Linked DNA regions of Elephas maximus indicus. The protein of the gene in region 2 binds, or shares a complex with, the protein of the main gene of each other region. Links are inferred from orthologs where the notes say so. Each region holds a gene or a part of one and is shown on either strand. Other genes may lie near its edges.

Region 1 (7,535 bases), on a different chromosome or scaffold from region 2:
TCAATACTGCCCTTATGCTGACCTCACGGTGTTTAGGCAGTCTTAGTCTACAGCTCAACCCAGCTGGAAGGGTTTTCCAGGGCTCTAGGAATGGCTGCACTGCACACATGTGAACTCACCGAACATAACGTAGTACTGTGATTTCCCATTCAGGTTCTTCTGGTCCACATCTGCGGGAAAGACCTTGATGTAGCCCCCTCCGCAGTCCATCTTCTGCTCATGTTTCACCGTGTACTGAATCACCAGGGTCTTCCCTTTATTGCTAAATGGTTTGAACCGTGCAGAGATGGCATAGAATCGCCCATTTTGGGTGGTCTGCAGACCTTTCAATGAAAAGTACTAATGTAGGATTAGGATGACACTGTGCTCAGGGACTCAGGAAAGTGAAACGATGTTGTCCCCCCAACCCCAATAATAAACGTCATGGAAAACAACCTGTTGCTGCCCAGTCCATTCTGATTCATGGCAACCTTATGTGTTACAGAGCAAACAGCTCCACAGGGTTTTCTTGGCTGTAATCTTTATGGGGGCAGATTGCCAGGCCTTTCTTCCACTGTACCACCCCTATTTCAGTAGCAAATAATACCAAACAGGCATACTGCTCACTGGCTCTCTGCTTCCACAGACCTTACAGTTCACACACCTGGACATTTTTGTACTTAACACAGTGCTGTTATAAGTGTAGAGGGTTTTGGTTCAGTAGCACAATTCTTGGCTTCCATGCAGGAAGCCCAGGTTCCACTCCCAGCAGAGTTACCTCACGTGCGGCCACCACTCATCTGTTTGCGGAGGCTTACACGTTGCTAGGATGCTGAACAGGTTTCAGCAGAATGTCCAGACTAAGAAAGACCAGGAAGAAAGGTCTGGTGAATGACTTTAGAAATCAGCCCATGAAAACCCTATGGGTTACAATGGTCCAATCCGCAACTAATCACGGACAGAGCTCAGGACTCCGCAGCATTTCATTCCGTTGTGCGTGGGGTCGCCATGAGTTGGAGGTGACTGAACGACTGCTGGGCAAGTTTGAACTGCCAACCTTTTGGGTTAGTAGCTGAGCACAGACTGTTTGTGCCACCCAGGGATCAATATGTCCAAACCTGAACTAATAACTGCCTCTTACTACCACACCCCCTCTCTCTGGTCCATTCCTCCCCTCCCGCTCCCCCCCTTCCCCAGGGATTCGTGACCCCTCTCTTTCCCTTACCACCCACCATCTAGACAATCCCCCAAGACCAACTGAGTCTCTGCCTCCCACTGTGTCTGGTCCCACTCTGGTGCCCCTTCACCCTTTCAGCACCGCCCCCATCTCATTGTGGCTAAATTCTACTCATCTTCCAATTCATGGCTTCAATGTCATGGTCCTAGGAGACCAGGAGGGACAGGGCCTTTTTACTGGGTGTTCCCATGTCTGCTCTCAGTAGTCATGTGCCCAGGGAATGAATGGAACATGCACTCTCAGAATTCCAAATGAGAGAAAGGAAAAAATTGTGGAAAGAACCCAAATGATTCAGAGGAGTAGCCCAAGTGGAAATTCCTGTCTTTTGACAAGTTCCATGGAAGTAAAAAAAAAAAAAAATTGCTGTTGAGTCAGCTCCGATTCGTGGTGACCCCATGTGTGTCAAGAGTGGACCTCTGCTCCACAGGGTTTTCAGTGGCTAATTTTTTTGGCAGTAGATTGACAGGCTTTTCTTCCGAGGTATCACTGGGTGGGTTCAAATAGCTAAACTTTGTTAGCATCCTAGTGCTTAACCATCTGCACCAGGCAAAAAACCAAACCAGTTGCTGTCAAGTTGATTCTGACTCATGGCGACCCCATGTGTGTCAGAACAGAACGGTGCACCACAGAGTTTTCAACGGCTATGACCTTTTGAAGCAGCTCATCAGGCCTTTCTTCCATGGCAACTCTGGGTAGGCTCTAACTACCAATTCCTTAGTTAGTAGTCACGTGTTTAGCCATTTGCACCACCCAAGGACTCATTCCGATGGTTGTTAGTTGCCACTGAGTTGATTCAGACTCCTTGTCCTTCCAAAAGGGGCCCTGGTGGCACAAATTGTTAAGCGTTCCTTTGCTAACTTTAAGGTCGGTGGTTTGAACACACGCAGAGGCTCTGCGGAAGACCTGGCACTCTTCTTCAGTAAAGATTAACCCAGCGGCGGCAAAGTTGGTTCTGACTCACAGCTACCCTATAGGACAAAGTAGAACTCCCCTAACAGGGTTTCCAAGGAGCAGCTGATGCATTTCAACTGCCAACCTTTTGCTTAGCAGCGAGCTCCTAACTGTTGTGCTACCAAGGCTCCTCCGTAAAGATTACAATCTAGGAAACCCTAGGAGACAGTTCTCTCTGTCATTTTGTAGAGTCACTACGAGTGGAAATTGACTGGGAGGCAACTAACAAGTGCTCATAAAACAACTCCCTAAAGTCCTTGTCTTCCTTTCCTCACCTGTAAAATAGATGTAACAGGTGTTGGAGGGGTCACCACACCTACCTTGCAAAGTTGCTAGGGGCGTTAAGCATTTAGCTTCATTTTCCCAGGATCCCTACACTAACCTTTATCTTTCTCCTTATGACCATAAAACTTCCCCGACGAGAGTCTAAAATGCCCGAATTGTGAGTCATTGGTGGACTGCACCCATCGGTTCCTCCAGCGCTCTGTGGGGGGAAACAACACCGGTGAGGGCTGAAAACTATTAGTTTGTGTCATTGGGAGGGTGAGGGGGCGCTCGAGGCCTCGAAACATCGAGGCTCCGCCACCCTCAACCCCGCAACAAGGGGCCTGGGGCCAACGGCGACACGGCCGTCCGTTGGGCAGCGAAGTGGGGGGTCCTCACGCCCTCGCCAGCGGACGTGGCCCCTTTCACCTCCGTCTAGAAACTCCTCCTGGAAGTAAACGGTGGCCAGCGCCACCCGCAGCAAGCAAACCACCCACAGCTGGACCTCAGCCGCCGCCATGGAGGCCAGGTGGCGCCTCTACGACTGCTCCTCGCTCCCAGTAGCCTCCTCGCAGCTTGCCGGCCCGTCCCAAAACTACAACTCCCGGCAGGCCCCGTGATTATGACCCGGCCTCCTATTGGTCCCCTGCGCGCGGTGCACGCCGGGCCTACCCCAGACCTACTACTCCCATGACGCCCCGCGATTGTGACTGGCTATGCCATTAGTCTCCGCAGCGCAGTGCATGCCGAGAGTTGTAGTCTAGTCTCTTCCTCCCCAGTGCTGTTGCCCGGGCAACGGTCCCCTCCGGCCTGGGTGCCAGGCCTGAGCGCGGCGGCGGCCACCGCGGATGGACAGCGTGGGAGGAGGTCGGAGGGGCCGGTGGGCGGCAGCTGGGCGAGGGGCGCTCCAGCTCGGGAGATGACTGGGAGGAAATGGGGGCACTCTTCAAAGCTGGGATTGGGGGCGACGGAGAGAGCGAACCTCAGTTTCTCTGCCTGGGCCCCACTCAGGAGCGTGGTCCGGTGCAGGTGGCACCCAGGGTCTGGGGGAAGAGCCGGGATGGTGTGAGCAGCGGCAGTGTTTTCAAAGTTTGGTTTATTTATTTTGACAACTCTGGTGGCGTAGTGGTTAAGAGCTATCGCTACAAACCAAAAGGTTGGCGGTTCAAATCCACCAGGCGCTCCTTGGAAACTCTGTGGGGCAATTCTACTCTGTCCTGTAGGGTTGCTATGAGTTGGAATTGACTCGACGGCAACGGGTTTGGTTTTTTGGTTTCATTGAGGTTAGTGGTGTCACTAGGAGGGCACTGTTAGAGAGGGTGACTTTAAAATGACCCCAGGGTCCGAGGCGGTGGGCACACGGATGCAGCTGGGGCAGGGGCCGTCAACGCGGTGGCGTCACTAGGGCTGGATTCACCTGTCACCCAGTGCGGTAACTCGTCACTCCCCCCTTCACCCGCCAGTTAAGGTATCAGCAGCTGGGTCTTGGTACCTGCCATAGGGCGAAAAGGAGAGTTTGGCCCACGGGAAAGGGGAGGAGCTGTGGGGACAGGCCGAGCCTGGCTGCTCCTCCAACCAGGGGGGGTTTCGCGGCCAGCCCCGCCCACTCCGGCCGGGGGTCGGGTAGGGGTGTGTGACACCGTGAGGTACCACACTGGGCGATACCAACACAAGTGATGCCGCAGATTGAGGTATCATTTACATAAGAATTACTCATTTTAAATGTACCTGTATCAGTTGCATAGAATCACTTCCTACTCCTGTGGACCCCATGCTGTATCAGTGTTGAACCGTGCTCCATAGGGTTCCCCCCCCATAGGGTTTTAAGTGGCTGAGGTTTCAAAAGTAGATCGCCAGACCTTTCCTCCAAGGTGCCTCTGAGTGGACCTCCAGCCTTTCAGTTCGCGGGCGAGCGTGTTCACTGTTTGCACCACCCAGGGACTCCTTTTAAATGTACAATTCCATTATTTTTAGTAAATTTACCAAGTTTAGCAGCCACCACCCCTCTCCAGCTTTAGAACATTTCCATCACCCAAAGAACATCCTTCCCACCCCTAGTCCCAGGCAACTACCAATTTACTTTCTGTCTCTATGAATTGGCCTGTTGTGGACATTTCAAACAAGTGGAATCATAACCTATGTGGCATTTTGCATCTGGTTTCATTCCCTGTACCATGATGTGTTTGAGATTTATCCATGTTGTTATATCTGTATTTGTTCTTCTTTATGGCTGTATAGTATTCCATTGTATGGCTAGACCACAATTTGTTTATCCATGTGTCAGTTTGTGAACATTTGGGTTATTTCCACTTTTTGTATATTACAAATGATAGCTGTCATGAATATTTGCATATGAGTCTTTGTGTGGATATATTTTCAGTTTTCTTGGGTATATGCCTAGGACTGGAATTGCTGGGTCATATGGTAGTTCTGTGTTCAGCTTTTTGAAGAACTGCCAGATGGTTTTCCCTCGTTCCTTTTTAAAAAATATTTTATTGTGTTTCTGGTGAAAGTTTACACAGCAAATTAGGTCCCCGTTTAACAATTTCTATACACACTGTTAAGTGACGGTTACGTTTTTCACCATGTGTCAACATTCTCATTATTTCCATTCTGGTTGTTCTGTTGCCATTAATCTAGCTTCCCTGTTCCCTGCCCCCTCCCACCACCACCCTTACCTTCTCATCTTTGCCTTAGGGTAAATGTTGACTGTTTAGTCTAATATAGATGATTCCCTTGTTCCTTTTTAATGGATGTATAGTCGTCCACTGTCTGGATGGGTCTCCTGGACCTCACCAGTTCTCTAGGGATGGATTTAGGCTTTCGGTGAACACAAACAATGCTGCCATGAGTTTCCTTGAACATACGTCTTCATTCTCCCCCACGCTTTTTTAATTGTGGTGAAAATATTTACACTAAAACATATACCATCTCAACAACTTCGACATGTGCAAGTCAGTGATATTAATTATATTCTTCAAATTGTGTACCCATTCTTGCTATCCTTTTCCAAATTATTCCACCACCGTTAACATAAACTCACTGCCCCCTAAGCAGAAACACTCCTTTCCCTGCTCTCCCGCCCCCTGACAACCACTGATAGTCTTTGGTTTCTATATATTTGCTTGTTTCACGTAAGTGAGATCATACGGCATTCCTCCTTTTGTGACTGATTTATTTCACTCAGCATGATGTTTTCAAGGTTTGTCCATGTTGTAGCGCACATCAGGATTTCGTTTCTCTATATGGCTGAGGACTATTCCATTGTGTGCATATACCATATTGTGTTTATCCATTTATCTGTCAGTGGACACATTTTGGTTGTTTCCACCTTTTGGCTGTTGTGAAAATGCTGCAGTGAATGTTGGTGGAGAGGTTTCTGTTTGCGTTCTTGCTTTCACTTCTAGGTAGATACCTGGGTTTGGGATTGCTGGGTCGTATGATAGTTCTATGTTCAGTTTTTTGAGGAACTGCCAAACCATTTCCCACAGCAGGTGCACCATTTTACATTCCCACCAGCAATGGATGAGGGCTCTAGTTTCTCTACCACCTCACCAACACCAGCTGTTTTCCTTTTTTTTTTTAAATCACTGCCATTCTAATGGGGGTGAGGTTGTATCTCACTGAAGTTGTGATTTACATCTCCCTACCAGCTAACGGGAGCCCTGGTGGTGCACTGGTTAAGACCTTGGCTCCTAACCAAAAGGTGGGCAGTTCAAATCCACCAGCAGCTAACGGGAGCCCTGGTGGTGCACTGGTTAAGACCTTGGCTCCTAACCAAAAGGTGGGCAGTTCAAATCCACCAGCCGCTTCTTGGTAACCCTATGGGGCAGTTCTACTCTGTCCTACAGGGTCGCTATGAGTCAGAATCGACTCATCGGCAACAGGTTTTGAGTTTAAATAGCTAATGTTGAGCATCTTTTCATGTACTTGTTGGGTCTGTTCAAGTCCTTTGCCCATTTTTTGGTTGGGTTGTTTGTCTTTTCGTTGTAAAGTTGTAGAAGTTTTAAAAATATATTTTGAATGTTAGACCCTTACCGGTTATGGGTCTCTCTGTGCACTTTTGAAAGAGAAATCTCAGGTAAATTCCTTGGGGTGGAATTCCTGGATGCCAGCACCTAAGGAGCCGGAGCCCATACCCACTCATGCTGTGGTCTAAATCTTTAAAATCTTTGTAGATCTTGCAGTGGCTGGTATGTATTACAGAGGCTCAATGGAACCCTGAGAATCTGATGTAAGTGCTCACCCTTCTCCCCGGAAAAGTACACCCAGTATCCCCATGCAGCACATTGCAGACATTTTAGGGGGCAGGATGCTGCATCTGCCCATCGGCCCTACCCAGGGCAGTGGTCCTACTTTAAGTGTAATAAGAGTTTCTGGGGACCTTGTGAAACATACATTGCATTTCACTTGCTGTCGTGAGTGAGCTGAGGTTGCTTTGATGCACGGCTGCGGCTGGGAGCAGGGCTCTGTTGGGGTGTTGTGGGGATCAGGTGAGGCCAGAAGTGCAGTGGTTGGCAGTGTGGTCTTTGAAATTGGGCCCGAGCTTTGAATTTGGCTCTGCTACCCCCCAAGCCAAGGAGCCCTGGTGGTGCAATGGTTAAGCACTTGGTTGCTAACCAAAAGGTCGGCGCTTAAAAGAACCCAGTGGCTCCATGGGAGAAAGACCTAGTTGTCTGCTCTTGTAAGATTACAGCCTAGAAAACCCTATGGGACAGTTCTACTCTGTCAAATGGGTGGCCATGAGTCGGAATCGACTGGGTAGCACAACACCAACATTCCCCAGCCAGTGACCTTGGCTGGTCACCTACCTGTGTGAGCTTCCATCTCCTCCACTTCCTTGTAAAACAGGGAGGACGGTAACCAACTTACAGAAGTGCTATGAGGATGAGAGGAGATGATATACCATAGTGCTAAGCGGATGGCCAACTCGCTACCTAGTCCCAGAGGCGCCAACGGTTATGTTGAATGAGTTTCGTTTAATACCTGGAGCTGAATGGTAGTTGACTTAGTGGGGTTGTTAGCTGTCATTGAATCATGACGACCCTGTGCACAGTGGAACGAAACACTGCCCGATCCTGTGCCATCCCCTTGATCAACTTCA
Region 2 (7,149 bases):
TAACAACCTAACAATTCCACTTCTAGGTATATACCCAAAAGTACTGAAAGCAGGACTCAGACAGATAGTTGTACACCAATGTGCAGAAGAGTATTATTCACAATAGACAAAAGGTAGAAACAATCCAAGTGTCCAACAACGGATGAACGAGTACTAAATAACAATGTGGTACACACATAAATTGCAGTTATAGTCAGCCATAAAGAGAAATTGATGGTCTGTTTCACAGTCGGACAGTCGTTTGAACAGAACAAGGGGATACTGTGTGGTTTAAAGTCAGAAAAGGTGTGCATCAGGGCTGTATCCTTTCACCATACTTATTCAGTCTGTATGCTGAACAAATAATCTGAGATGCTGGACTATATGAAGAACGGGGCACCAGGATTGGAGGAAGATTCATTAATAACCCGCAGTAGGCAAATGACACAACCTTGCTTGCTGAAAGTGAAGAGAACTTGAACCACTTACTAATGAAGATCAAAGGCCACCGCCTTCGGCATGGATTGCACCTCAACATAAAGTAAACAAAAATCCTCACAACTGGACCAGTGATCAACATTATGATAAAAGGAGAAAAGATTGAAGTTGTCAGGAATTTCACTTTACTTGGATCCACAATCAACACCCATGGAAGCAACAGTCAGGAAATCAAAAGACGCACCGCACTGGGCAAATTTGCTGCAAAAGACCTCTTCGAAGTGTTGAAAACCAAAGATGTCATGTTGAAGATTAAGGTGTGCCTGACCCAAGCCATGGTGTTTTCAACTGCCTCATGTGCACGCAAAAGCTGGATGATAAATAAGGAAGACCGAAGAATTGACACCTTTGAATGGTGATGCTGGGAAAGAATACTGAATATACCATGGACTGCCAGAAGAACAAACAAATCTGTCTTGAAAGTACAACCAGAATGCTCCTTAGAAGCAAGGATGACGAGATTACATCTCACATACTTTGGATATGTTATCAGGAGGGATTGGTCCCTGGAGAGAGACATCATGCCTGGTAAAGCAGAGGGTCAGTGAAAAAGAGGAAGACCCTCAAGGAGATGGAATGACACAGTGGCTTTAACAATGGGCTCGAGCTTAACGGCGACTGTGAGGGTGGCGCAGGATACAGCAGTGTTTCGTTCTATTGTACGATGAGTAGAAACTGACTCAACAACACCTAACAACAACATAAAGAAAAATGAAGTTCTGATGCATGCTACCACATGGATGAAAACATTATAAGCGATATAAGCCAGACATAAAAGGACAAGTTCTGTATGATCATACGTATATGAAATATCTAGAATAGGCGAATGCACAGAGATAAAAATAGATTAGTGGTTATCAGATGCTGGAGAAACGGGGGAATAGAAATAATTGCCTAACAAAAATAAATAAGTAAAATGGGTGAAAAACCCACATGGTACATTTATTAAAATACAGATTCTTGTAGCCCAAGAATTTCTGGGCATGCATCCAGGAATCTGCATTTTTATGTTCCAGGTAACTTTCATGCAGTGGTCTACTGTCCACACTTCACAGAACAGTGGATTAATCTTTTTTTTTTCTTTCTTAAAAGATGAGAAAACAGACTCAGGAAATGCTGTATCTCAGGGTTAGACACTGGGGAGTGGCAAAGCATAGAGAGAAAGTGTTACAATGAAAGATAATTTGAGCCACAAAATCCTATTTCTAGCAATCATACATCTGGGACATGGGAATACCTTTATTATGTATTAAGTCTTTATGACGGTATTCACCATAATTTCACCAATATCTACCACTAAAATAAAATTTTAGCAGGAAAGAGCCCTCATAAAAAGGCCCATTTGAATTACCATTATTTTGGAGACTACAGACAAGGCATACGATCCATTTTCAAATGGGCAAGCCAGCTAACTTTGGAGACCCCCAAACTATTCCACAAAGAGTCATTCGGTATCTGCTATCACCAACACCTGACACCCCTAATCCCAGGGCAGACTGATTTGCACATGGAGGCCTGAGCGCAAAGGCTTGCACTAACACCTGTTATCTAGAGAACAGACTACTGTTTAATATTCCTGGCTTCGAATAACAACGCTGGTTTGTTTGTGGTTCCAAGGTACTTTGAAGCACGGTTAAAGCAACTGAAATCGGAAGTGCAAGATGTGTCCTCTACAAAGCCCAGAATTTAGGTTCCCTCAGGGCCAGGCTAGCATTTTCGCTGTGTCACTTCTTACCCAGTATTGGAAGCTGATGAACTTTCTCATTCCCATGTTCAAAATTTATTTGGGCAAACTGCCCATCAAGATTGATCCAGTTTTGTTTTGGGGGGTGGGGGGGATCTGATATTCCTGAAATCATGTGCTCAGTTGCATTTTCAGTCAGATTGGGAAAAACATCAAGGTCCAGGTTACTCTCTGCATGTCAATACAGAATGCTGCAAACAACACTAAATACATCCTGGCTACCAGTCCCCTCTGTGATATGAGAATTTGTTAACTAAAAAAAAATCCTTGCATACTCAACCCAAAGCAAAAAAGCTACAGTTAAAAAATACCTTGGAATCTACCATAGGGGAAAACACTACAGCTTTCAAGCTGCATTCCCTTCAGGGACTGGAACCAGCACACTTGAACTGATGTTGCTGGTCACAAAGCAAGTGCACCCCTATGTAAAGAACTTAGTTAGGGCCTCGAGGAAACCAGAAGTCATGAGATAGAACCAACATGCTACAACAGAAAACAACAGCTTGAGAGAATTCAGACTTTAGCATCCTCACCCAATTATTTCTTCCCTCTTTCTAGGAAAGAGACCAGTTTCACCACACAACAAAGAAACAGACCAATTTTTCTGCTTATTATAAAAATTAGACCACAAAAATACTTACACGGGACCGGAATTCAAAGAGCAATGATCCACCATCATTTCTGGAAGGAAATCCAACTTAAACACAGCCATCACCTCTCTCGTCTTCAGAAGCCAATGATATTAACTTGCTGCCCTTGTCTGATCCACAAATACACACAGCCTTAGCTTCCTGAGCCCCACAAAAAACACAAAGTACAGAAAACAGGAGCTCAGGGAAACAAGCAGTAAGTGCCACAGAAACAGGCAGGACTGGGGAAAGGAGAGGGAATACTGGATTAAAAGGGGGATGTGACCATGTGAAGGGAGGCTCAGCCCAGCACACAATGAAAGTGCTGATGCACCAGGCTTGTTTTGTGTGATTTTCCCTGGCGAAGCAGTACTAAGTGCACTGTCAGATAAACAGAGTGTCAGATCCATGAAGATAGCAGTGGCTAACAGAGCAGAAGAAACACAAACTTGTTTCACATCCTCCAGACTCCTCCCTTCAATGAGTTTTTGAGGTACCCCAAAACTGAAACTATCTCACGCAAAAAAAAAAAAAAAAGAGCTTCCCTCATGTAGTCTGAAAATGGTTCTAGAAGGAAGAACTTAGTTGTCAGCCTTGGTGTTAAACACAGTTTCCATATGCCAAAGGCAGCAATGGTCTAAACTAACTCTGGAAGAATTGCTTAAGTAGTGAGTGGAAACACCACGAGAAGCAGGCCAGAGGCAAGATGGCTGAGGAACTGGCCGCCAAAAACGTAGCACGCACATATAACAAGGTGTGCTGCCTAATGATTTCTCATTGGGGTGAAGGACTTTAAAAAATCCCTGGCTCAGTGACATTCATTAGGTGGCACAGGCAAAAAATTTTTACTAACCCTAAATCTTACTCTGCCATAAAATAAAACGGAAGAGTAATATTGCATCTCTTGATAGAGTACTAGGAAATTATGCCTTTTCAATTCTCTGAACTTTTTTTTTTTTTTTTTTTTAAAGAAAAAAAGGCAAACAAAAACCACCACAACGATAATAATGAAGAAAAACTGGGGCCTATCAGGGACAGACACTCAAACACATTAGGGAAGGACAAAAGAATGTAGGCTGAGTCTTGTCATTCTCTCTCCTCCTTTAAACTTACTAAAAACCAAGACTAGTAACTGCACACATAAAAATTCTATTACGGGTGAGCAGGAGAAATAGATATACTCAGCAGTCAAGGCAGATGTGGTGCTCCCGTTCTCAATTTAGCTTCACATCCCTCCAAACAGCAAATGGTGGCATTTCAATATTTAGGCAGTGACTCTAAAACTATCTCTGAAGGTTCCCAAATTTCTTTCCATTTTTTATCATTAGGGTTGCCTGACCTCAAAAGATTTCACCCAAGTTCAGTTCATAACACAGGCTACTTCGAAAGAGAAGATATGTTCAGCCTGTGAGGAGGTAAATGAATAAAATCCCAAACATATATAGTTACTTAAAAAAAAAAAAAAGAAAGAAAGAAAAGGCAGGATGGCATGAACTTAAAAGTTCTAATCTGTATTACAATGGCAGACACCTGTCTGCATTTGACTCAGGCAGGTAGAAATTCTATCTGCTGCCCAATGTTCCTGTCTTGGTTATCTAGTGCTGCTAAAACAGAAATAACACAAGAGGATGGCTTTAAAGAGAATTTTATTCTCTCACAGTCCACCAGGCCAAACTCTGAATTCAGGGTGTCAGCTCCAGGGGAAGGCTTTCTCTCTCTATCGGCTCTGGAAGAAGGTCCTTGTGATGCCAGTCTTCCCTTGGTCTGGGAGCTTCTCAGCATAGGAACCTCAGGTCCAAAGGACACACTCTGCTCCCGCACTGCTCTCATGGTGGTATCAGGTCCCCGTGTCTCTCCGCTTGCTTCTCTCTTTTATATCTCAAAAGATTGGCCTAAGGCACTATCTAAGCTTGTAGAGCTCATCAATATAATTGCCACTAACCCATCTCATTACATCATAGTGATAGGATTTACAACACATAGGGAAATCACATCAGATGACAAAATGGTAGACAATACTGGGAATCATGACCTAGGCCAAGTTGACAGATATTTTTGGGGGGACACAATTCAATCCGTGGCATTCCCTCCTCTGGCCCCCAAAAATTCATGTCCTTGCCACATATAAAACATATTCACCCCATGTCATAGCAAAAGTCTGAAATCAACTTAAATTCAAAATCCAAAACTTCCTCTTCATCTGTGAAATTCAGAATATAATTTATCTGCTTCCAAAGTATAATGGTGCAACAGTCACAAGGTAGGTATTTCCATTACAAACAAGAAAAATTGGAGAAAAAGAAGGCATAACAGGCACCAAGCAAGTCAGCAGAACACACTGCATTAGCCCTCATGGCTTGAAAATACTCCTCTTTATCTGAGATCATTTACATAATAGCCCTGCCCTACAGACTCTAGGTATTGGCCATACTCTCTGGATTCTGAGTGGAGACCCTTCCATCCTGGGCTTCAGCTCTGCCTTCCAGGCCCACTGGGACAGCAACTCTGTTCCCTCAGCTTTAGGTGCACCATCCTCCTAGTCCATCTGAGTGGTGACTCCACCCTTAGAAACACCAGAGGCCGTGGCTCCACCCTTCGAAACCCCAGAGGTTGTGGCCATACCTTTTGAGACTGAGGCAGCTTGGCTTCCTCTGTTCCTTGTCTCTTCAACTTCTGCTTCCCGGTTTCTTGGTTTTTTGGCCCTCAAGCCTTCGTCTGTCCTGCTGGGGCAGGTGTTCCAAAGCTCTGTAACTCCACCAGTAAGTGCCTGGAGCACCCCACTCTGCCAGTAAACTTCAGCTGGAAGGCACTCAGCTCTCTTGCTCCGTGGGTCAGCAAGCCTAGCTCCATCTGTAAGTGCTCACAGGCACCCCGCTTTGCCAGGAAGCATCCTTCACAAAGGCATTCAGCTCTCTCGCTCCATGGGCTGGCTGCAACGCTGTCTTGCACTGATCTCCTGGTTCTGCCAATGTCGGTCCTCTGCCGTTGCTTCTCGCTGTCTGTGTCGTCTCCGACGTAACAGCTCTCCTCGCTTCCTTGTAAGTCCTTGATCAATTCACAGTTTCAAAATCGCTTCCACATTTTAGGTATCTGTTAAAGCTGCACCCCACTCTCAGTACCAAAATCTGTCTTGGTTATCTAGTGCTGCTAAAACACAAATACCACAAATGGATGCCTTTAACAAAGAGAAGTTCATTCTCTCACAGCCCAGTAGGCCAAAGTCTGAATTCAGGGCACAGCTCCAGGGGAAAGCTTTCTCTCTGTTGGCTCTGGAAGCAGGTCCTCGTGGTGCCAGTCTTCCCTTGGTCTGGGAACTTCTCAGCACAGGAACCTCAGGTCCAAAGGACACGCTCTGCTCCCGGCACTGCTTTCTTGGTGGTATCAGGTCCCCATGTCTCTCCGCTTGCTTGTCTCTTTTATATCTTGAAAGACTGGCCTAAGACACTATCTAATCTTGTAGATCCATCAATAAAATTGCCACTAATCCATTTCATTACATCATAGTGATAAGATTTACAATTCATAGGGAAATCACTTCAGGTGACAAAACGAAACACAATCATACAATACTGGGAATCATGACCTAGGCCAAATTGACAGATATTTTGGGGGGGCACAATTCAATCCATGACAGTCCCAAATCTAGAAGTGAACAACAGCTAACTGGTTTTGTCAGAGGTCCTGGCTCATTTGATCTACTCCTTTAGAGGTAGAAGTGTCAGGGGCACTCTTTCACTGTATTAAGGGGGACAGCAAAAAACAGGATGCAAGTGAGAGGAGACTGTGTAACTGACACACAGTACACAGCTCACCAAGCCCTGACTGTCAGGCAGGCAGAGGATGTAACCCTAGCTGGGACTGGCTGGATTACTGGGTAGGTCTGTCCTACTTTCTCCTCAGCAGACTAGAGCTGATCACATGAAGCTTCCTATAGAAATCTACCTGGACCAAGGAGTAACTTTGTGAGGCTGGTCAAACACCAAATTAGATTCTTTAGTTCAAGGATTTCTTTTTAATGTCAACAACTTTCAAGCAACTCACTGGTTATGGTTGTGCTTTTATTATTCACAAATTCAAAAAATAAAAACACAACCATAACCAGTGAAATTCCTTGAAATTTGTTGACATTAAAAGGAAACCTCTGAACTAAAAAAAAAAAATCTAATTTGGTTGTTGACTGGCCTCACAACTGGACCAGTAAGCAACATCATGATAACGGAGAAAAGATTGAAGTTATGAAGAATTTCATCTTACTTGGATCCACAATCAATGCTCATGGAAGCAGCAGTCAGGAAATCA

Evidence for each region. Proteins that work in one complex are often made in the same cells at the same time.
Region 1: CELF1 (region 2) and CALR3 share a complex: the UniProt entries of both Homo sapiens proteins name them as parts of the EIF2 complex. The link is inferred for Elephas maximus indicus from reciprocal best matches to the Homo sapiens genes CELF1 and CALR3.

The regions. Positions count from the first base shown.
Region 1 is NC_064821.1:36,719,016-36,726,550, forward strand, and holds the start of CALR3 (calreticulin-3), read right to left. Parts: upstream 3,011-7,535; 5' UTR 2,952-3,010; coding exon 2,861-2,951; intron 2,652-2,860; coding exon 2,550-2,651; intron 324-2,549; coding exon 120-323; intron 1-119. UniProt on the Homo sapiens protein: During spermatogenesis, may act as a lectin-independent chaperone for specific client proteins such as ADAM3. Required for sperm fertility. CALR3 capacity for calcium-binding may be absent or much lower than that of CALR.
Region 2 is NC_064825.1:102,899,151-102,906,299, forward strand, and holds the start of CELF1 (CUGBP Elav-like family member 1), read right to left. Parts: upstream 3,013-7,149; 5' UTR 2,934-3,012; coding exon 2,863-2,933; intron 1-2,862. UniProt on the Homo sapiens protein: RNA-binding protein implicated in the regulation of several post-transcriptional events. Involved in pre-mRNA alternative splicing, mRNA translation and stability.